Ovis aries: one gene and its partners. The protein of the gene in region 3 purifies or fractionates together with the protein of the main gene of each other region. This does not show direct contact. Links are inferred from orthologs where the notes say so. Each region holds a gene or a part of one and is shown on either strand. Other genes may lie near its edges. The genes, in order: CHUK, IKBKB and PRKCQ.

The links.
Region 1: the proteins of PRKCQ (region 3) and CHUK purify together in Homo sapiens (affinity purification with western blotting, with the first as the bait; 3 studies listed by BioGRID). This does not show direct contact. The link is inferred for Ovis aries from reciprocal best matches to the Homo sapiens genes PRKCQ and CHUK.
Region 2: the proteins of PRKCQ (region 3) and IKBKB purify together in Homo sapiens (affinity purification with western blotting; 4 studies listed by BioGRID). This does not show direct contact. The link is inferred for Ovis aries from reciprocal best matches to the Homo sapiens genes PRKCQ and IKBKB.

Annotation. Positions count from the first base shown.
Region 1 is NC_056075.1:20,874,284-20,881,832, forward strand, and holds the end of CHUK (inhibitor of nuclear factor kappa-B kinase subunit alpha), read right to left. Parts: coding exon 7,546-7,549; exon of another isoform or gene 7,255-7,545; coding exon 7,107-7,254; exon of another isoform or gene 6,586-7,106; coding exon 6,467-6,585; exon of another isoform or gene 4,330-6,466; intron 4,276-4,329; coding exon 4,176-4,275; intron 3,431-4,175; coding exon 3,401-3,430; 3' UTR 2,239-3,400; downstream 1-2,238.
Region 2 is NC_056079.1:36,449,929-36,458,247, forward strand, and holds the start of IKBKB (inhibitor of nuclear factor kappa-B kinase subunit beta), read left to right. Parts: upstream 1-4,137; 5' UTR 4,138-4,240; intron 4,241-4,735; 5' UTR 4,736-4,753; coding exon 4,754-4,858; intron 4,859-8,319.
Region 3 is NC_056066.1:11,280,120-11,287,899, reverse strand, and holds part of PRKCQ (protein kinase C theta type), read left to right. Parts: intron 1-740; coding exon 741-858; intron 859-2,800; coding exon 2,801-2,961; intron 2,962-7,578; coding exon 7,579-7,752; intron 7,753-7,780. UniProt on the Homo sapiens protein: Calcium-independent, phospholipid- and diacylglycerol (DAG)-dependent serine/threonine-protein kinase that mediates non-redundant functions in T-cell receptor (TCR) signaling, including T-cells activation, proliferation, differentiation and survival, by mediating activation of multiple transcription factors such as NF-kappa-B, JUN, NFATC1 and NFATC2.

The DNA of each region.
Region 1 (7,549 bases), on a different chromosome or scaffold from region 3:
CCTAAAACAGTGCTTTTCTGCAGGGAGGGGAAATTGGATGGCTAGAGAATAAACCCGGAGAAAGCAATGGCACCCCACTCCAGTACTCTTGCCTGGAAAATCCCATGGATGGAGGAGCCTGGAAGGCTGCAGTCCATGGGGTCGCTGAGGGTCAGACACGGCTGAGCGACTTCACTTTCACTTTTCACTTTCATGCATTGGAGAAGGGAATGGCAACCCACTTCAGTGTTCTTGCCTGGAGAATCCCAGGGACGGGGGAGCCTGGTGGGCTGCCGTCTATGGGGTCGCACAGAGTTGGACACGACTGAAGCGACTTAGCAGCAGAGAATAAAGACATACTTTCTTTTCACTAAATACTTTTCTGCCCTTTTAAGTTATTCATTGTTATTTAGTCACTAAGTAGTGTCTGACTCTGCGACCCCATGGACTGGATGCCAGACTTCCCTGTCTTCACTATCCCCCGGAGCTTGCTCAAACTCTTATTCATTGAGTCTGATACTATCCAGCCATCTAATCCTCCGTCTCCCCCTTCTCCTACCCTCCATCTTTCCCAGCATCAGGGTCTTTTCCAATGAGCCAGTTCTTCACATCAGGTGGCCAAAGTATTGGAGCTTCACCTTCAGCATCAGTCCTTCCAGTAAGTATTCAGGGTTGATTTCCTTTAGGACTAGACTGGTTTGCTCTCCTTGTTGTCCAAGGGACTCTCAAGAGTGTCCTCCAGTACCGTAATTGAGAGCATCAGTTCTTTGATGCTCATCTTCATGGTCCAATTCTCACATTGGTACAAGACTACTGAAAAACCATAGCTTTGACTACATGGACCTTTGTCAGCAAAGTGATGTCTCTGCTTTTAGTGAAAGAGTAAAGATAGGAGTGAGATAGATGAATATAAGGGAAATTAGGGCAGCATATTAGAAGAGGTTGGGCATTAGTCACACAAGCTTTGAAAGACTAGCAGTGGGACCACAAATAGACTAAAGTTGGAGAGCTCTGTAATCTCTTAGGTAGGGAAGTATGAGAAAGCAGTGCTTCTGGGTCAGTAAGTCTACAGAATAGCTCGGAGTGGAGACAGGAGACAGGGAAGCCAAGTGGTTAGTAAACTGCAGGCCCAAAGTTTCAGTAGTTGTAACTGGTGGAAATGGAAAGAGGTAATAGAATCAATTCAAATCTTCATTAAAGCAAGCCCTCCCAAACAACTTTACCTTTTCCCTTCAATAAATGCACTTACCTGGATCATCCCTTTGACTTTTACACCTAAGAATATATGGGACCTTGTCTGTACTAGATAAATGTTTGTTGCAGAGCTTAGCTATTTTGACCTACAAAAAGCAAAACGAATGAAAAATAACTCGTTTACTTCTGTTTTCTGGATGAATTATTTTAGTTTTTCATAGTATTGCTTGAATGAAATAGATATAATCCACAATTGAAATTCAACTCTGAAAACTGTCAACAAATAACAAATAGAGTGGTCAACTCATGTATCAAAAGCATATCTGAGGTGATCTCACTGTAATAGGCTGTTCTGACTCATACCACTTGCCTATATCATACAGATCAGGCTCTCCTGAGGTGGTATCAGCCACAAACCATAAAAATAGTCCCACCCTATACCAGGTCTTTTATCAGTTATTATAATGATATTTAGAAAATGCTCATTTCAAAAAGCCTTTAACAATAATTTCATTCCAAATAAACACTCTTATTGTACTGCCTGTGTTAATTTTTCTGATCTTCCCATTTTGCTCAGTTTCTTCCAAGCAACAGGCACCCAATAAATGTTTACTGATTAAAACCTTCTAGAACTGGAAGAAGCAAGAGAGAGACAGCCAGTTTTAATGGCTGGTAGCCAGAATGTCCATATTCAGAGAAACAGTAGTAGCAGTTGACTAAAAAGTTAGGCGAAGACAATCCCAAGGTCTCAAACTGAGATGACTGGAAAAATGACACTATTAGCAAAAATGGGGATGGTGTAACTAAGACAGCAGTTTTTAGGACATGGTATAAGCATAGTTTTTAGAAACAGATAGTGATGACAGGCCATCTCAGGAGAAAAGACTATATTAAAGAAGCTACCCAATACTGCCTTTACCGTAAGTCTGTTTCATTCCTAAGTACACTAAAAGCCTGTTATGTTACTCTGTGCTCCAACTTTGCTTCATGGAACCTTCACATTTTCTCAAAGCATATTCAATTATTCTGCTACAGTCTGGTTTTAATGAATAGAGATTCAGAAAGTAATTTAAAAATTGTTTAATATACAAAGTGAAAAACTGTCTAGAATACAAAAGCATTTCACATTTTTAAAACAAGTAATACCTTCTAAATTATTTAATAGACAATAGATCCACAATCCTTTATCTGAAACCCTGTCTGCGGCCATACCATCTTGAAGGCAACCCAATCTAGTCTTGAAACCCTTGGGGACAGATGCTTCAGAATTATGAAATTTTCAGATTTTAGAAAGGTAATTCAGTGCATATACCATACTACATAAACCTCAGGCAGGGTCTGTGCCAGCACCCTTCCCCCTAATAATCAAATACAGTAATATTTCTGCAGCAAAAGAAAAGAATATTCACACTAAATGGGATAAGTAGACTCACTGTCAATTCTTGTTGGATGTGCAAGCAGATGAATTTTGTCATCAATTTTATGAAAAATCTTGTTTTCAAAGATTTTTGGATTTTGGAATTATAGATAAAGAATGCAGATCTTTATAAATTTGTATGACAAGACATGAAAGATTCCTGAAAAGACCCATTTTTACAAATGAAAACAGATAAGCTTTCAAATACATTATAAATTAACAGGTATCTTCTCTTTGATATTATTAAATGTACATCTTAAATACATATACATATAGCACACTTAACATTTGGAAGAATCAATTGGTATTAAAGGCACAAATGCACAATCCCTTTCATAGGAAAGGGATACAATCAAATGTACAGTAAAATGGAAAATGGGATTAAACTCTCTTATGAGGCTGGGAAGAGCACTGTTAAGTGCAACACAAGTACAACACAAGCAGTCTCTTCCACAGAAACATAGGCAAACACTTTTTACTTAGAATACATGTTGAGATTTTCTTCTCTGTATACATTATTTTGGCCTTATGCCCAAAAGTTAAATGTTGAAAGAATCAGTTAAATAAGTAATGTTTTACCAAGTTTGAAGACAAATGGATTTAAGTCCACCGACTCATAAAATTCTATCTGTTCAGAAGTTAAAATTACCCAGAATCAAAATATTATGCTGTAAAATCATGTGGAGTTTCTGATCATAGTCATTTCTTCCATTGACTGGTATTTGAAGAATGGCTTCATAGGAGAAAAACAAATGTCTAACATGTGCAGCAACAACTTCATAGGTTTCAGGAGAGTCACTAAGTGGCAAGTCATTCTGTTAACCAACTCCAATCAAGACTCTAAAACCAGGCATGAAAAAGTTACCATTAGATGTTGACTCTAAGCAGTAGGTATATGGGTGTTCATTTTTGCAAGTTTTCTGTTTATTTGGAGATTTTATAATCAAAAGTTGAAAAACCAAAAATACAAATAAGTTACAATTAAAGAGTCTAGTTTACCTTAATTTCTACTAACAAAAAAAAATTTTCAAAGAGTTTTCAGATATTTGAAGCAAATAATGAAAGAGGAATAAACAAAGAATTAATATCAAGACTAAACATAGTAAAAGTTAATTCAGTAAATATTTTATTGTAGTTTCGCCAAGTTTTAACAAATCAGTAATTCATAGCAATCAAATCTTCATAAAAACACTTCTGTTAATAACCATATTAACATTATTCATTTTGCACACAACAGTTACTATATTTGAAGTACAGTACAAATTATGCCCCATCTTACTGGGGAAAACTGACTGCAGAAGCAAAAAAGTACAGACCATTTGATTTCAGTGGTCACACTGCAAAGAAAGCTCACCAATCATTTAACTTGACCAAAAATGCTATTAAAGATTACTGATGGTATAATCCTAGTATATCCATGAGTAAGAGAAGATGGGGAGTTGAGGTTAAGCATTCCTCAAATGCTGTTTGCTCTGAGTTCTATTCCCCAACTGAATCCCAAACACCAGATAAGTCCAGCATGGAAAGTTAAGCCCTTTGCACCCAACACACTTAAAACACACATCCATATTCATATAAAACTTACCATCATACTGTTGCCCTGTTTTTCATTTGCTTCATGAATAATAGTGCTTAAATGGCCAAGACAGTTCAAATTTTCTTCTATCATTTGTGCTAAAGTCTCCCTGTCGAATGAAAGCAAAAGGGCATATGAATTTCCTCTACTTTCTGATTTTCAGGGTCAGGATGATACTGCTCTTGCTACAACACCACAACCCAGCAACCCAACACAGCTGATTCCTGTTGTCTTCAGTTTGCTCATCCCTCCCACCCAGAGGCAGAGTCCTGTTTGTTACTCCAGGCTGCTGCCTCTGCCCAGCTCTAATGATAAGGAGTCCACTATAACGCCAATCTGATTTTCCTCTGAAATATAAGTAGCACTTATATACAACTTTTCCCCCCTGAAAATGCTCACTCGGGGAAAAAGAGATCCTGTGGCACAGCCAGATGAAAGATCTCTTTTTGTTTCTGGAACATTTCCTTTTCCTTACAAGTAGTAAAAACATCAGCATGCTTACTTCTGAGACACAAATGTAGGGGAAGAGACAGAAAAGATAAGCTATCTTTTCTGCAAAGATTAGGGAAGGTGAAAAAAACTGTGGAAAATATAGATAACAGCAATGAAAAAGAAAAGCAAGCTGATTCCTGACGACAGCAGAAGAAAACTATGACGGGGAGCTGCAAAGAACAAAGAAGTATCCTTGGAAATTTGAAGACAATCCTGAATCTGATTTCTATCTTCTATACTTTCCTCTTCCATATGGCCTCCATCCTTACCTTTTACTAACCCTCAGTCCCTACCCCAGTAGAACCAATTCCAGGCCATGGAAGATGGTCACTGTTAGCTTAGAACTAAATTCTCATTCAGCTTATTCAACAGATAGAAAAATTGAGGTCAACAGTCCCCAGTCCTTGGTGGTTAAGTACCACAGGTATATTATTACTGAAACCAGTTTTCCTTTTGGAAAATATATTTTTAAATTCCTGGTGAATATATTTTTGCAAACAATCATAACCTCACACTGAAAATCACTTGTATAGAGGTAACATTTGCAACCATTTGCATTCTCTAATAAACCCAAGTGTCTCTAATGAAAGCAAAAAGATATTAAAGTTTATTTGTATCAATTCTGATTAATGAAATATTTCCTAAAGTCCATATAACTAATTATAGTCTATGCTCTAGCTGTGGATGTATTACATTGGGCCAAATGTATAATGACCCTAAAATATACCCTAGAACTTGCTTTCTTTAAGAAGATAGAATACCTGGTATCAGCTTGCCTTCCTGCCATGTGCTTTTCTCTTATAAAAGCAGAGTACAGAATGTGCAGCTCTGACCTCCTGAGCAGTGATGTTACACGGCTGCACCTCTGGAAAACTAGTTATGGGCAGAGCTTCCAGGAAATAAGCGATAATACACAAGCTAGCAAAGAGCCACTGGCTCTGGATATGGCACATCTCATGCTGAGAAAAATAACAGAAATGGATAGTCATTCAGCTTTTAGCAGAAGAGTAGGAATTAAAGGAAAGTATAGGACTTCAAACTTGAGTTGTTTCCAAAAACGATTTAAGGCACTGAAAAAAGTCTGAAGTTATAAAATGAGTACTGCTGCTAAGTCACTTCAGTCGTGTCTGACTCTGTGCGACCCCATAGACAGCGGCCCACCAGGCTCCCCTGTCCCTGGGATTCTCCAGGCAAGAACACTGGAGTGGGTTGCCATTTCCTTCTCCAATGCATGAAAGTGAAAAGTGAAAGTGAAGTCGCTCAGTCATGTCTGACTAGTAGCGACCCCATGGACTGCAGCCTACCAGGCTCCTCTGTCCATGGGATTTTCCAGGCAAGAGTACTGGAGTGGGGTGCCATTGCTTTCTCCAAAAATGAGTAAATTAAACTCAATTCCATTGGGGGGTGAAAGGCCCTAAAATGACAACTGCAAAAAGACAGCATAAATTCTTAGAGATAAATGATAAATTTAGGAATAAAGTATGGCTAAAATGTTTAATAAGTCAATAATAGAAAAAGAACTTAGAACTTGGATTGAGCTAAGAAGAAGTAACATTTGCTGAAGATTCACTTCCCAAGCATTTTATATATACTGTCTAGCTGAATTTTCATAGCATTTCCCATTTTACAGGTGAGGAAATGTGAACATTGAAACAGACAAGTTAACTGTGTGGGGTTATTACAAAGGGACAATCAGGATTCAATTCTGGTCTATAAGGCAGTGAAGACTACATCTTAACCACTTTACTGTCTTATTCCCACCACTGCTCTTGAGCACACAACTATCTATTGTAACAAAGTGAACCCACCCATCTTGAGGAGTTACCACGCATGACAGAGGATGTTCACGTTCTGCTGAAGTTGGGGGCAGCTGAGGGGTTACACCTTCTAGACTGGATCCTACAAGGGACCGAGCAGAACTCTGTGTCTGAAGGAAAAAAAAAAAATTACAGGCAAGCACCTTCATGCATTCATATTCCTAAGACACATTTCTATCACTACTTTTAGGCACAACCAGAGTATTTCTGTACAAAACTATCTCCACACCCTACTAATTATCCTGTCCTGGACCTCTTTCTTCACTGACTAAAATCAGATGTCCATCCTTCCATTCTACGTTAGTTGGAGAAAAAAACTCCAGTTGAACAAAGGGGTGGTTTTTCAATTAGCCAGGCACATCTATCCCCAAGTTTGGTTGGGTGACCACAGTGGTCTAGGGTTGGGAGGAGTATAAAAACAGGAAACTAGAAAGGAGAGAGAATGAAGGATGATCATGAAGTCCTACATCCGAATCACTAGTGAGACACCAAGCAAAGAATATGAGCATCAACCCAACATAAAATACATATGTCTTCAAGAGGACAGAAATCATGCTGATAAAAAACCCTTTTGTAGAGAATAACAGCAAATTAGTGTCATATTAAATAATTCATATTAAAAATTACTTACACATGCAATTTTAAGGAGATGCCATATTTCTTTCTGCCTCTTTCCCTGCATAAACATGACAGTATTGTCAGCTTCTTTGATGTTACTGAGGGCCATTTCCACCTTGGGCAGTAGATCAATAATCTTCTGCTTACAGCCCAACAACTTGCTGGAGAGGTAAAATCTGTGTCAGACACTTACATATTCCCCAAGACTGTACCCCATACTCCCAAACCCAGCTGGGGGAATGAGTCACAATCAGCACAGATTTAGTGACTGATCTGCAAAGCAGTGCACACAGAGAGGACACTAAATGCATGCAGCTGTGGCTAAGCTCTGCAGCATAGTGCCAGTACTTTCCCTGGGTCTGGTATATTTACCAGAAACGGGTATTACGTTTTAAAAGGAACCTGGCAAAAGTTCCCTGGCTTTTCAGTAGGAAATAAAACAAAATTTCTACCTCA
Region 2 (8,319 bases), on a different chromosome or scaffold from region 3:
ACAATCAGCTCACACATCTCTGCTGCTGCTGCTAAGTCGCTTCAGTTATGTCTGACTCTGTGCGACCCCAGAGAAGGCGGCCCACCAGGCTTCCCCATCCCTGGGATTCTCCAGGCAAGGACACTGGAGTGGGTTGCCATTTCCTTCTCCAATGCATGAAAGTGAAAAGTGAAAGGGAAGTCGCTCAGTCGTGTCCGACTCCTAGCAACCTCATGGACTGCAGCCTACCAGGCTCCTCCGTCCATAGGATTTTCCAGGCAAGAGTACTGGAGTGGGTTGCCATTGCCTTCTCTGCACTCATCTCTACAACAGGATAAAGACCAGATGTAGGCAGTGAGTACATCTTATCTGGAAGGAATAAGGAGTTTAACAAGATAAACATCTTGGGATGTGATAAAACCCAGAGACGCCTTCCTGGGCTGTCATTATTTTTTTTTTTTTTTAAATCCAGCAATATGTGACTTATCAGAGAGATTTATGTTCAGCTGAAAACAAAGTTATTTTGAGCTGAGCAAATGAAAATGCTTAAATTACAGTGGCACAGAATGAACTTTTGGCATATCAATGGATGTCTCGTTAAATTTCTCAAGGACAGTGATTTTCTGAGGACAGGATTAAAAGGAAATCTTCTGGGATGTCGGACTCTACCTAGGGCCCAGCACCCATAGGAGTTCAAATTTTATTTATAAAAACAAACTTATTTTAAAAATTGATTTATTAAAGAAACAAATTGCACTGAAAACATGTGAGGCACTATTCTAAATGTTTTACAACTATTTACGCATGTTCCTTTCTCTTTCTGCTTTGAGGTCAAGTGTGTTGTTTAGCAGAAGCAATAGCATAAATGCAGAAACTCTGAGCATCCTGGCATGTCTGCGTCAACCCTGGCAGCACTGACCCCTCTGCTCGTGTTGGTGTCTGTTCCTAAGCGTTAACTCCAGACTCAGGCTGTGTCCAGGTCAGAGTTCCTGTCAGGCACGGCTTTTACCATCTCATCATCTGTCTTCATAACAAGCTCCCCAGCCCCTCCCATCTCTGACTTGTGCCCTCTGTTGTTTTCAGGCTGAACCACATAAAACTGCTAATCTTTGTTGCTGATGTTTCAGCTGGTTTCGTTTTATTTTAAAAAAAATGATAATTTCATGCAATTCAACCTTATGCTGTCTACATTTTTAAAAATCGAGGTATAGTTGATCTGGGGGCTTCCCAGTGGCTCAGCAGTAAAGAATCTGCCTGCAATTCAGGAGCCACCGGAAATGTAGGTTCGATCCCTGGCTCTGAATTATCCCCTGGAGGAGGGCGTAGCAATCCACTCCAGTATTCTTGCCTGGAGAATCCCACAGACAGAGGAGCCTGGCGGGCTACAGTCCATGGGGGCGCAAAGAGTTGGACATGACTGAAGCAACTTAGCACCAAGCACCACAGTTGATTTACAATATTAGTTTCAGGTACACAACATAGTGATTCATAATTTTTACAGATTATACTCTAGCTCAGTTGGTAAAGAAACAGCCTGCACTGCAGGAGACCCTAGTTTGATTCCTGGGTCAGGAAGACCAACTGGAGAAGGGATAGGCTACCCACTCCAGTATTCTTGGGCTTCCCTTGTGGCTCAGCTGGTAAAGAATCTGCCTGCAAATCTAGATCGAGACCTAGATTCGATCCCTGGGTTGGGAAGGCCCCCTGGAGAAGGGAAAGGCTCTCCACTCCAGTATTCTGGCCTGGAGAATTCCATGGATTGTATGGTTCAAGGGGTCACTAAGAGTCGGACATGACTGCGTGACTTTCACTTTTTTCATCAGTTTAGTTCAGTCGCTCAGTCGTGTCCAACTCTTTGTGACCCCATGAATCGCAGCAAGCCAGGCCTCCCTGTCCATCACCATCTCCTGGAGTTCACTCAGACTCCCGTCCATCGAGTCCGTGATGCCATCCAGCCACCTCATCCTGGGTCATCCCCTTCTCCTCCTGCCCCTAGTCTCTCCCAGCATCTTAGTTATTACAAAATATTAGATATATTCCCCATGCTATACAATGTATCCTCATAACTTATTTACCCTCTACATAGTAGTTTGTTAATTCTACCCCTATCATGTCCCTCTCGTCTTCCTTCTTCCTAGTGCTAACCACAAGTTTGTTCTCTTTGTCTGTGATTCTGCTGCTTTTTTGTTATATTCACTAGTTTGTTGTATTTTTTTAGATTCCTCATAGAAGTGATATCATACTCTATTTGCCTTTCTCTGTCTGATGTATTTCACTAAGCATAATGCCCTCCAAGTCCACCCATCAATGTTGCCTGCATTTTAAAGAGCAACGGGCTGCTTGGGGTGGTCTGAGTAACTTGAAGTACCTAAACTCTTTAGGTACCTGAATACCTAAAGTCCCAGAGGTAGTCAACAGCAGTCCCTGGATTTAAAATCCTTCTAAACTTACTAGTATGCTACTTTTAGCTACATATTAAAACCTTGCACTCAAAAACAGCTGCTGGAGTTTGAACATCAGATAATTATCCACTTAAAAGCCTGTGACTTTGGGATGAAGACTTTCTCTCTGTGCTTCAGTCTTATCATCTGTAAAATGGAGATAATAATAATGCAGTACTGTCCAATTTGTAGGGTGGCCTTGAGGACTGGATGAGGAAACCTAAGTACAGATTTAGTGTCAGCCACTTACAAAGGTCTGTCTAGTCAAGACTTCTGGAGAAGGCAATGGCATCCCACTCCAGTACTCTTGCCTGGAAAATCCCATGGACAGAGCAGCCTGGTAGGCTGCAGTCCATGGGGTCACTAGGAGTTGGACAGGACTGAGCGACTTCACTTTCACTTTTCACTTTCATGCACTGGAGAAGGAAATGGCAACCCACTCCAGTGTTCTTGCCTGGAGAATCCCAGGGACGGGGAAGCCTGGTGGGCTGCTGTCTCTGGGTCGCACAGAGTCAGACACGACTGAAGTGATGCAGCAGCAGCAGCAGCAGCAGTCAAGACTATGGTTTTTCCAGTAGTCATGTATGGATGTGAGAATTGGACCGTAAAGAAAGCTGAGGGCCGAAGAATTGATGCTTTTGAACCATGGTGTTGGAGAAGACTCTTGAGAGTCCCTTGGACTGCAAAGAGATCCAACAAGTCCATCCTAAAGGAGGTCAGTCCTGAATATTCATTGGAAGGACTGATGGCTGAAGCTGAAGCTCCAATACTTTGGCCACCTGATGTGAAGAACTGACTCACTGGAAAAGACCCAGATGCTGGGAAAGATTGAAGGCAGGAGGAGGAGGGGATGACAGAGGATGAGATGGGTGGATGGCATCACTGATTCGATGGAAGTGAGTTTGAGCAAGCTCTGGGAATTGGTGACGAACAGCTAAGTCTAGCATCCTGCAGTCCAAGGGGTCACAGAGTTGGACCCCACTGAACTGAACTGACCGACTCACTAAGCACTCTATCACTCTGTAAAGTGAGCTATTATCTTCAGATTGCCTTTGATACCTTACCCTTGCTTGAGTAATAATACACACACACACATACACACAATCTTTGTCTGCTAATATGTTGCCCTCGAACTGAGAAACTCAATAATAAACTCAAATCATGATGCCAAGGAGGTCGGAGATGAAGGATTAACAGGCCGAGAGGTAGTCTCACAATTTCCGCCCGTTACTGGGGCTGAACCTCCAGTTTTGCGTTACAGTATTAGATTTTCTCCCCCTCTTCTTAATTTTTTTTAAGAGGGAAGAGGAGGTTGTCACGCCTAGGGACTACAGGTGTGATTTATCATTATCGATCTGAGCCCAGGAGTCTCCAGACCAGGTGAGGGATTACAGCCGGAAAAGCTAGAGCCCCAGGGTAATTCTGGTAAAACGTCCCTAAATCCATCCTGGGGGGGGGCGGGGAGGGGGGGGAGCGGGAGTGGGGGAGGAGCGGGAAATTCCCCTACTTTAAAGTCTAGGAAGCCTGGTCAGGCTGACCCCGGGGCGGGGCTGCGGGGCAGGTGAGGAAATCCCCATCTTCCCCGTCCCAGAAAGCGCTCAGGTACAAGTCGCACGTCTAAAGCGCACGGGGGCGTTTTCCCCAGGGTCGGTCACCGGGCAGGGGCGGGGAAGTCTGGGCCGGCGGCCCCTTTAAGGCCGCGACCCACGTGCCCCGTGACGTCAGAGCAGGAAGTGTTTGAGGAAGTTGGCGCCTGTCTCGAGGCTCTGAGGGCCCCGCGCGTTCATGTCTTCGGGGCGGCGCCCGCGCCCCGCCGCCAGGTGAGTGCCTCGGGCGGGCGCCCCCGCTGTCACCCGCACCCCCGTCTCCGAGGCTCCCAGAGACGCGCGTGACCGGCCCCGAATCCGGGGCTTCCCGGGCGGGGAGGGCTGGGAGGCCCCGGCGGGGTGGTGCCGGGCGGGGGCCCGGAACGCGGCGGTGATTAGTCGGGACCAGCGGGGAGGCGCCGGAGCGGGGGGCGCAGCCCGGGGATCCCCTGGCAGTTCCTGGGTGCGGGGGCGTCCTGTCCTGGGCGGGACCCCCACCCACCCCTTGCTGCTTCGGGGTGAGGTGGATGGGGGGCTGCGAAAGACAGGACTTTGCTGCCCAAACGAAAACCAGACCCAGCCACCTGCTTTTATGTACGGAGATGAAAAATCAGTTCCGATTTTTCTTTACCATCGAAGCGCTGTGGCATCTCTTAACCTTGTCCATCTTCCCACTTTTCCTTAACCATCACCTTTTGTTCCCCCCCTCGCCCCCCACATTGCTTGCAGCGTTAGCAGGACTTCAGTATGAGCTGGTCACCTTCCCTGCCAACCCAGACATGCGGGGCCTGGGAAATGAAAGAGCGGCTTGGGACAGGGGGATTTGGGAACGTCATCCGATGGCACAATCAGGTAGGCTCTGTGCTGCTGGGAGGAGCCGGGGGGCGGCAGGGTTAGGGGGTGCAGACTAAGTCTCACCCCCTACCCACCCTGTGAATGGGGCTCACCTTGGCCCTGGGCTTCTTGGGAGAGAAAGGGCCTGGGAAGATAGCCTCAGGTCCCCTAAGCTGACTAGGTTAGTGGTCTCCAAGCTTTACTGACTATGTCACCTAAATAAATAGTAAAAAAAAAAAAAAATGTAAGTTTTCAGCTTCAAATATATATTTTAAAATTACATATCTTTGCTAACCTAATATTATCACCTACTAATATATTGTGTAGTTGACTCATTGGAAAAGACTCTGATAGCTGGGAGGGATTGGGGGCAGGAGGAGAAGGGGATGACAGAGGATGAGATGGCTGGATGGCATCACCGACTCGATGGACATGAGTTTGGGTGAACTCCGGGAGCTGGTAATGGACCGGGAGGCCTGGCGTGCTGCATTTCATGGGGTCGCGAAGAGTCGGACACAACTGAGCAACTGAACTGAACTGAATATATTGTGTACTAATGTATTAGATGTTATGAAACATGCAAACATGTTTTCACACTTTAGAAAAATCTTAAGTGTAAAAATAATAAACCATTTTTAAATGTTTTAAAAGTTAATTTAAAAACCATTTTAAATACTTAGCAGTTATGGTGTCTTCCCAGTGTTGTTTGCAATACCTCACAGTGAGAGTTATACAGAGGCACGTGAAAATGAGAATTATCGTTGAGGATGGTGGGTGAACATGCACGTTTCAAGTAATCTTTATAATTTGAATTCTTTGGGCCAATTTTACATCTCATAGATCATCATTTTCTTAATGTCTTTGACATGTGAATTTTTCACCCCACAAGCATTAGGGCTTCCATATTCCTGTTTGTCCTGGTGATACATGCACTGAAATTCTCCACAAGAATCTCTTTAAGCCACTCATCCATTTTATGAGAGTCCTTTTATTAAAATCCTGGAATGAAAAGTCAAGTGGGCCTTAGGAAGCATCACTATGAACAAAGCTAGTGGAGGTAATGGAATTCCAGTTGAGCTGTTTCAGATCCTAAAAGAAGATGCTGTTAAAGTACTGTACTCAATATGCCAGCAAATTTGGAAAACTCAGCAGTGGCCATAGGACTGGAAAAGGCCACTTTTCATTCCAATCTCAAAGAAAGGCAATGCCAAAGAATGTTCAAACTACTGCACAACTACACTCATCTCACACGCTAGCACAATAATGCTCAAAATCCTCCAAGTCAGGCTTCAGTAGTACATGAACCATGAATTTGCAGATGTTCAAGCTGGTTTTAGAAAAGGCAGAGGAATCTGAGATCAAGTTGCCAACATTCACTGGATCATCGAAAAAGCAAGAGAGTTCCAGAAAAACATCTACTTCTGCTTTATTGACTATGCCAAAGCCTTTGACTCTGTGGATCACAAGAAACTGAGGAAAATTCTGAAAGAGATGGGAATACCAGACCACCTAACCTGCTTCCTGAGAAATCTGTATGCAGGTCAGGAAGCAACAGTTAGAACAGGACATGGAACAACAGACTGTTTCCGAATTGGGAAGGGAGTATATCAAGGCTGTATATTGTCACCATGCCTATTTAACTTATAGTACATCATGAGAAATGCTGGGCTAGATGAATCACAAGCTGGAATCAAGATTGCTGGGAGAAATAATCAATAACCTCAGATATGCAGATGACACTACCCTTACGGCAGAGAGCGAAGAACTAAAGAGCCTCTTGATGAAAGTGAAAGAGGAGAGTGAAAAAGTTGTCTTAAAGCTCAGCATTCAGAAAACTAAGATCATGGCATCCGGTCCCATCACTTCATGGCAAATAGATGGGCAAACAGCGGAAACAGTGTCAGACTTTATTTTGGGGGGCTTCAAAATCACTGCAGATAGTAATTGCAGCCATGATATTAAAAGATGCTTGCTCCTTGGAAGAAAAGTTACGACCAACCTAGACAACATATTCAAAACCAGAGACATTACTTTGCCAACAAAGGTCTGTCTAGTCAAAGCTATGGTTTTTCCAGTAACCATGTATGGATGTGAAAGTTGGACCATAAAGAAAGCTGAGCGCCAAAGAACTGATGTTTTTGGACTGGGTATTGGAGAGGACTCTTGAGAGTCCCTTGGACTTCAAGAAGATCCAACCGGTCCATCCTAAAGGAGATCAGTCCTGAATATTCATTGGAAGGACGGATCCTGAAGGTGAAATTCCAATACTTTGGCCACCTGATGCGAAGAACTGACTCACTGGAAAAGACCCTTATTCTGGGTAAGATTGAAGGCAGGAGGAGAAGGGGATGCCAGAGGATGAGATGGTTGGATGGCATCACTGACTCGATGGACATGACTTTGAGTAAACTCTGGGAATTGGTAAAGGACAGGGAACCCTGGCGTGCTGCAGTCCATGGGGTTGCAAAGAGTCGGGCACGACTGAGTGGCTGAACTGAACATATTAAAATCGGATGATACTGTCCGTAATTCTACGTAAGTGGGGCGCTCGGAGCCTCCGGCCTGTCCCCACCGGCCCCTGTCCGCCCCTGCTGTTGGAAAGCCCGTTGTCCTCGGGATCCCCCGAGTGTCAGAAGTGGCGCGCAACCTGACAGACACTCTGAGCGTGGTGCTGCTCGGTTAATAGCGGGAGAGCTTCATTTCCTGTGTGTGTGTGTTTTTTTTTTTTTTTTTGGATTCCTGTTTTGAGTAACCCCTGCCTATACCCAGTTTGGAGACCTCTGCTCAGAGGAACCCTCACTTACCCTATAGCTAATACTAGCTTCTTAACCCAAAATTCAGACACATTGAAGCCCTTGAGGGAAGGTACCCACTTTTTAATGAAGGGCCTCCAGCATCTTTCTGGATTTGAAGAGATGGTAGATTCCCAGGAGCCTGGCTGCAGCCAGCAGGGAGAGTCATGCTGGCCTCTGGCCAGTCACAACAGAGGTCATCTCAGACCCCCAGCCTCCCCTATCAGCTGGAAGACATGGAGCTCTGAATGGGTGGAGCAGCTCCCAGTGGGTGGAGCAACCCCTAGAGGAACGTGGGGGCCAGAGGACTCCTGCAGGTGGTAGTTACTCAAAGTCACCAGGGAAACTCCCGATGCCAGCAAACCCCATGGCTGTGGGGGAAGGGGGGTGCAGCAGAGCCCTGGCATCAGGACGGAAGAAGCTAGCTCCTTCCCCAGTTCAGTTCAGTTGCTCAGCCGTGTCTGACTCTTTGTGACCCCATGGACTGCAGCACGCCGGGCCTCCCTGTCCCCCACCAACTCCCGGAGCTCAGCTCCTTGCTCAGCCCCACACAGACCTGGGCCGGGGCCTTCAGAGTCTTGGCTCCAGCCCGCGTCCCACTACAACCTCACCTCAGCTTCCTTGAGAGAGAGTTCTGTCAGGATGGGCCACTGTCTGCTCTCTCCACCCCCGGGGGCCCCCGTGTGC
Region 3 (7,780 bases):
ACACAAACAAATGTATTCATTAAAATTATTGAGGATTCACTGCTGGCTTTATACCTGTATAAGATGACTATGTAATAGCTGGTGGGAAAAACATTTGCTGAAATCATCTCCAAAATGCCCCCAAAACACTGAATCCGAGGCAGCTTTGCCTTTCCGCTCAGTAGCGTGCTGAATCCTCACATCTGTGAACAAACCCTCTTTGAGACTTGGCTTTGGGACTTCCCTGGTGGTCCAGAGGTTAAGACTTCACCTTCCAGTGCAGGAAGTGTGAGTTTGATCCCTGGTCAGGGAGCTAGGATCCCACATGCCTTGCCCCAAAAAACCAAAACATAAAACAGAAGTAATATTGTAACAGCTTCAAGGAAGACTTTAAAAATTGTCCGCTCTTAAAAAAAAAAAAAAAAAAAAAGAAATCTTAAAGACTTGGCTTTGCCTACTTGAGCTATTTTTCCATCCATTGGTCTTTGATTCCTATTTGTGACTGAGCGTAGTGGGGAGTGTGGGAAAAACCAGTGGGCCCCCAGAAAATATGAAGGAAGTGAGCACGCTCTGCTGGTGCATAAAATATAATAGACGTTCACAGGGTACGGGATCCTAAGAGAGTGCTGAGGAGGAGAGGTTCGGTTATCCTACGTATTCAGGGATCTGAAATGGCTTCGGGACCGTGGACAGCGGCATGCATGGTCCCGTCTGTGGTTGAGTGGGTAGGTGGGTAGTCTGACTCCTTGTTTGTAACCCAGGCTCGCTGCTTAAGAGATTCTGAGCACATCTTCAGAGAAGGTCCAGTTGAAATTGGTCTCCCGTGCTCCATAAAAGGTGAAGCAAAGCCGCCGTACGTACCAGGACCAGGGAAAAAAGGTAGCTATCCCTATTCACAGTGGAATTGTCATCAGTAATTCATCTTCATTAACCTGAGTCCAGGACTTCCCTGGTGGCTCAGAAGGTAAAGAATCTGCCTGGAATGCAGAAGACCCGGGCTTGATCCCTGTGTGGGGAAGGTTTCCCTGGAGAAGGGAATGGCCACCCACTCCAAGTATTCTTGCCTGGAGAAGCTCATGGACAGAGGAGCCTGGCGGGCTACAGTCCACGGGGTCACAAAGAGTCGGACCCAACAGAGCAACTGACACTTTCTCTAAGACTTTCTGGGTTAAAGCCTCCTTTTACCTGGCCTGATGAATGATTCTTTTCTAGTTAGAAATTACCGACCTAGCCCCCCACAAAGAGGCTTCTACTTCTAGAAGTAAAACCAAAGTACAGCCCACTAGAAAAGCTTTGGAAGTGGATGGGGTTGTGGGACGTTGGGGTGGGGGTAAGAAGATGGGGTTCCTCTGAAATAATGGCAATATTCTCAGAAATAATGGCAAACTTTTCCTTAGAATTTTAGAATGTTATTCCCTGCCATGGTCTGACTGTTCTACAAAACTGAATCCTCCATAGAGCACTAAGGTAGAAATACCACAGACCATCTTATTCTGTACTTTGAGACTTTACTGGAAAGTTTAAGATTAGAATGGGGAAGAATAGCCAACATCCTTAACATTTTATGATATTATGGAAGCTCATCCAGCCTCCTGTTGGAAGGTGCTTTTTGAGAGGTTGTGACTGTGTGGTTCTCGATTTTTATTTTTTTAACACCAAAACCATTTTGTATTGAGGTATAGCCAATTAATTAATGTTGTGACAGTTTCAGGTGAACAGCGGAGGGACTCAGCTATATGTATACATGTGATTCTGAATAGCTTCAACATATATTATAAAATACTTATTTTCCTTGGACGTAGAATATGCAAGACAAACCTAGAGTGGTAAAGACAAACCTGGAGTGGTAAAGAATCCTCCTGCCAAGGCAGGAGACACAGGAGATGCAGCTTCAGTCCCTGGATGGGAAAGATCCCGTGGAACAGGAAATGGTAACCTGCTCCAGTATTCTTGCTTGGAAAATTCCATGGACAGAGAGGCCTGGCAGGCTACAGTCCATGGAGTCTCAAAGAGTTGGACATGACTGAGCACACACACAATTCCAACCACAAAAAGGATAGGATAATTATGTGCTATGAGGTGCCATCAAGTGATATCACAGTAGATAAATGTGTCAATCAACATGTTATGCGTGTTAACTTAGCACAATGTGATATGTCAAGTATATTTCAACTTTAAGAAAAGAAATGTTCTAAGAGGGTGGGAGCAAGGTTCCAGGAAAGTTGGTCTACAACTTCTCTGGCATGGGGTGAGGAATAAATTGTCTGTAAATTTTTTTAAAGAAGTGTTTGGATTAGACTTGGGAAAGGTCTCTGGGTAAACCATGTCTCAGAGACAATCAAAATAGGCAGCATCTTAACCTGAAGACTGTGGTGAATGATTCCATTCGGGCCTTCAGTGATCTGCTATCCAGTTCTTCTTCCCTACATGGTAGGTCACAGAAATTGATGCCGTTATGCCTGCAAGCCATGCAAGCAATGGGGAGTCATTTTCCCTCCAGTTCAGCTAAAATCCCTATATGTCCATGATCTGGCATTATCTAAAGTGCTTGTTTCTGCTGCAGAGATCTGTCTTTTGCTGGTTGGAATGTTTCTTAACCTGACATTTCCCCCAGTCTGTCCCATAAAGAGACATGGTCCACCCCCCAGATTTCAGGCTTCCAGGCAGGAGGTGCTCCTTTTGCCCTGCAGGAACCCCTTTCTGAGCTGTTGCGGATGAAACTTCAGAACAGGATATGAAAAAGAAAGCAGGTTCTCAGAATAGCTAGGAAGATGCTCCGCTGTTCCTTGTTTCCTTTTAACCCCTGGCTTATCATTTTCAGAGCCTCAGGGGATCTCCTGGGAGTCTCCCTTGGAAGAGATGGAGAAAGCATGCGATCGTCCAGAACCTGAGCCGAACAAAGAAAGAAGTTCTCTACGTGTGAAACTAAAAATCGAGGACTTCACCTTGCACAAAATGCTGGGGAAAGGAAGTTTTGGCAAGGTATGATACTGTATGTAGGATTCTGTGGGCCAGATGACAGAAACTGAGAAGCAAAGCTCTGGCCAGTGGAACTGAGCTGGTGGGACCAAAATGAGGCATGGGTGTGCAGAGAGAGGCTTCCTGGGCGGGAGCCAGGATGTGATGTGATGTGATGTATGTTAGAGGGCAGAGAGAGGTCTGAATCAAAAGGGACCCAGGGGCTTCCTGGTGGCTCAGACAGTAAAGAATCTGCCTGCAAAGCAAGAGACCTGGGTTCTATCCCTGGGTTGGGAAGATCCCTGGAGGAGGGTGTGGCAACCCGCTCCAGTGTTCTTGCCTGGAGAATCCCCATGGACAGAGGAGCCTGGCAGGCTACAGTCCACGGGGTCGCACAGCCTCGGACACAACTGAGCGACTAAGCACAGGGAGCTCTTGGGAGCAGCAGCCTCTGCTCCCTGGGGAAAAACAGCTCCAGCCATCTCACTTTGAAGGTGTTCATCCCATCAGCTTCTGAGCGTGGTATCTTTGGACGCCAATGAAGCGGGGAGGTGCCCCGGCCAGTTCCTGTCTCATAGATATTTTTGTTTCATTGGTGGTTTTGTTGTTGTTTTGCTCCTTTCTTCAACCCAGAGTGTGGTTTTACTTTCCTTATGATTTTTTTCTCAGTCTTGTCTTAGCTTAGGGCTACTGGAATAAAACACCACAGAGGAGGGCAGCTTCAACAGCAGAAATGTATCTCTCCCAGTTCTGGAGGCTGGACATCCTGGGTCAAGGTGTGGACAGGGCTGTCCCTCCTGAGGCCTCCCTCCTTCCCGGGTGTAGACGCTGTCTTCTCCCTGTGTCCTCACACGGCCATTGCTCTGTGTCCCGATTCCCTCTTCTTATGAGGATGCCACTTCGATGGCATCAGGGCCCATCCTAATGACCTCATTTGAACATAATCATCTCTGTAAAGACCCTGTCTCCAAATAAGGTCACACTCTCAGGTGCTGGGGGTTTAGGACTTCAGCATATGAATTATTAAGGCTCCCCTGGCGGCTCAGATGGTAAAGAATCTACCTGCAATGCGAGAGATCTAGGCTTGATCACTGGGTCAGGAAGATTCCAGAGGAGCCTGTCCATGGAATTATCTGGAAGGGACACAGTGCAGCCCAGAATTACAGCCATAACTTGAGTGTCTTAGGAAAAGTTTCACAGAGGAGTCCCTCCTCTCAATTATTCCTGCCACTCACTCAACGTATGGGCTCTCTATCGCGGGGGGCGAGGAGGAGGAGGAGGAAAACATAGTCTAAGAAATTATAATCAACTATCAGTGACGAGAAGATTGTCAAGTCAGTGATTATAAAGAGGAATGTCATGGAATACAGGCTTTTACGTTATATTGGCTATTAAGGATATCTCACGATGGCACCCCACTCCAGCACTCTTGCCTGGAAAATCCCATGGATGGAGGAGCCTGGTGGGCTGCAGTCCATGGGGTCGCTAAGAGTTGGACACAACTGAGTGACTTCACTTTCACTTGTCACTTTTCCTGCATTGGAGAAGGATATGGCAACCCACTCCAGTGTTCTTGCCTGGAGAATCCCAGGGATGGGGGAGCCTGGTGGGCTGCCGTCTATGGGGTCGCACAGAGTTGGACACGACTGAAGCGACTCAGCAGCAGCAGCAGCAGCAGTTGTTTTTTTATTTATATTGGATGTCACTTCTTGGAGAATTTTAGCCAGAGACTACTGTTCCATGAATTTGTGCAACCAAGGCCAGCATTATGCTCAGCACCTGCTCACCAGACTTGGGCTGTAAAACTTACCCAGTTTAATAATAAACAAGATGAAATGCACCTAGGTCTTGCCATAGCTGAATGACTTTGTATTGCTAGTAGGGGTCGGGTTTAATACCAAGGAATCGCCTTTGGCAAAACCCACTCTGCCCTGCCAACTGTAGCCAATAGCTATTAGTTTGTTTCCACAATAGCACGAACCATCGCAGGCTCACTTGTGTTATTCTGAGTGCAATAGGCAGTTTTACAGCCAGTCTTCATTAAAATGTAGCATCAATTAATGTGCCATGATAGCCTGTTACCAAAAATTGACAGGACATTATAGAGATAGAGATTGCCTTTTCGACTTCTTAGTTTAAGGCTGGTTTGGAGGAATGTTTTATTGAAAGAAGCAATTACCAAAAGAGGATTTCTAATTGTTATAGAAATGTTTTTCTTTGTTTTCTGGGTAGATTTCTACTTCTCAACAAGGTTAACACAGCCTTAAGTTAAACCTACCTGCCTTAGTAAATAACCCAATGGACAGCTGAGAGCTTCAGTAGCCTCGGCTCTGTGACTAAGCTCCTCCCCATCAGAATCCCAGATCCCTGGACCCCGAGGGGACTGCACTGTGGGGCCCCAGTGAGAGAGGGGAGCCCCAAAGCAGAATATATTTCCTTTTCTTGAACTCCAAAATTTGTTCTTGTTTTTCTTTTTTTTTTTTTTTTTTCACTCTATAGATATGGTTCCTCACCAAAATGGTAGCCTGTTTTGGTTCTCCATTGATTTTAGGCCCAGGAGAATAAATGGCATGTTTTCTGGGGTTATGCACATTATTTCCCTGATGGCTCAGATGGTAAAGATTCTGACTGCCAGGCAGGAGACATGGGTTCGATCCCTGGGTTGGGAAGATCACCTGGAGAAGGGAATGGCTACCGAGTCTGGTATTTTCACCTGGAGAATTCCATGGACAGAGGAGCCTGGTGGGCTACAGTCTGTGGGGTCGCAGAGAGTTGGACACAACTGAGTGACTCACACTTTCACCTTCATGCCTGAATTCTCATCTAAGCTCTGCCCTCTCTATCAAGCCAGCTACCCCCAAAGCTATGTGTCTGCACTGTATTATTTTAAACATAGACACATGCATTTTCCACTCCTGGTGTGTCTTCATGAACTTCAGCATTCCTCAGAAGTCACTAAAAGAAACAAGTGATGAGTGGGAGTTTTGAAGTATAGTTGATTCACCGTATTATATTAGCGGCAGATGTGTTGTGACATAATGATTCAGTAGTTTTATAGACTGGATTCTAAAGTTATCACAGAATAATGGCTCTGTTTCACCATGAGATTCAAATATCGCCGCTGCTTATTTATTTTACACAGAGCAGTTCGTACCTCTTAATCCCATGCCCTTGTCTTGGCCCTCCCCCCGACTGGAACCCACTGGTTTGTTCTCTATATCCGTGAGTCTGCTTCTGTTTTGTTACATATATTCGTTCTGGTTTCAGATTCCAATAACTGTCATTCAGAAAGCATTTTAGAGTTCGCGAGTCGCTTCCCCACCTGGTGTGTGATTTTCGCAACAGTCCTGTAAGTCAGCAGTGTGGTGATAGTTATGGCTTTTCCACATTAGGGAACCGAAGCCCAGGGAGGTTGCTTTGTGAGCCCACATTCCCACAGCTGGTAAATGTCTGTGAAATGAGGCCAGAGCTGTGGCTTTCTGACTCCACAGGCCGTGCCCTCACTTCTATCAGTTGCCTGTGGCTGCATCATCTGCAAGAATACAGGTTGGAGCAACCCTCCACTCTAAGCCGTCTGGTGTCCTGTCTTATAAGATGCCTGAAACTGAGTGGAAAAAGTCAGCTTTGGAGTCAGATTTTCCACTGAGTAGCTTTGTGAGTTTGAGATAGTTACCCTTTGACCCTAGGTTTCTTTTATTATTACTATCTGTATTGCAGAGCGTTCTGAACCAAGAATTAAACAGGTACTAAAATTAGATAGCATGTGTAAAGCCTGTAGCAGAATGTCTGGCACATAGTAGGTCTTGAAGATAATGTTAGTGTCTGTGCCATCAGAGGAAACGCTGTGCATTCTTTAAGTACATCAGGACAGTTATATTTCTCACGTATGCTTTTTGGCCTTGAAAAAGTGGGTAAAATGTGGAATAAGGTTTTATGCTCATTTTTGTTGATTATTTCAAAAGCAGTCAAGTCTTCCTCTTCCTTGCTTGCTGCTGCTTCCTCAATACACATTTTTCTCTGATTGTTTTTTTTTTATAAACTTAGGTCTCTGGGCAGACAGGACACTTTAAAAAAAATTGTATTGGCGTATAGCTGGTTTACAGTGTTGCGTATCTGCTGTATAGGAAAGTGAATCAGCTATACATGTACACGTATCCCCTCTTCTCTGGATTTCCTTCCCATTTCGGTCCAAGCATTGGGTAGCGTTCCTTCAACTATATAGTGGGTTCTCATTCGTTATCTGTTTTATCCATAGTAGTGTGTGTGTATCAATCCCAACCTCCTAATCCATCCCCCTTGATGTCCATGCCTTCGTTCTCTACATCTGTGTGTCTGTTTCTGCTTTGCAAATAGGTTCATGTATACAATTTTCCTAGATTCCACTTTAAATAGAGTCTTTCCAGGGGCTGAGAATAACCCATCTGATTTTGTGAAACCCTTTGAAAGGTAGAGTGGATGAAGCTGTTAATAGCATCCCACGCCAGTAAAACTCGGTTTGTCTTCATAAAGGGGATAGAGGAGGATTGGAGAATTAATTCTGTTTCCTCCCCCAGTACCTCTCTCTCATGCACATCATGAGTCTTCTTTATCAAGTGTCAATCCAAATTCTAAAATAACCCTGCTTCTTCTGATTCCTTCCAGGTCTTCCTAGCAGAGTTCAAGAAAACCAATCAATTTTTCGCAATAAAAGCCTTAAAGAAAGATGTGGTTTTGATGGACGATGACGTGGAGTGCACAATGGTAGAGAAGAGGGTCCTCTCCTTGGCCTGGGAGCATCCGTTCTTAACACACATGTTCTGCACATTCCAGACCAAGGTAAGGCTTCTGCCCAGATGGTCCTTCA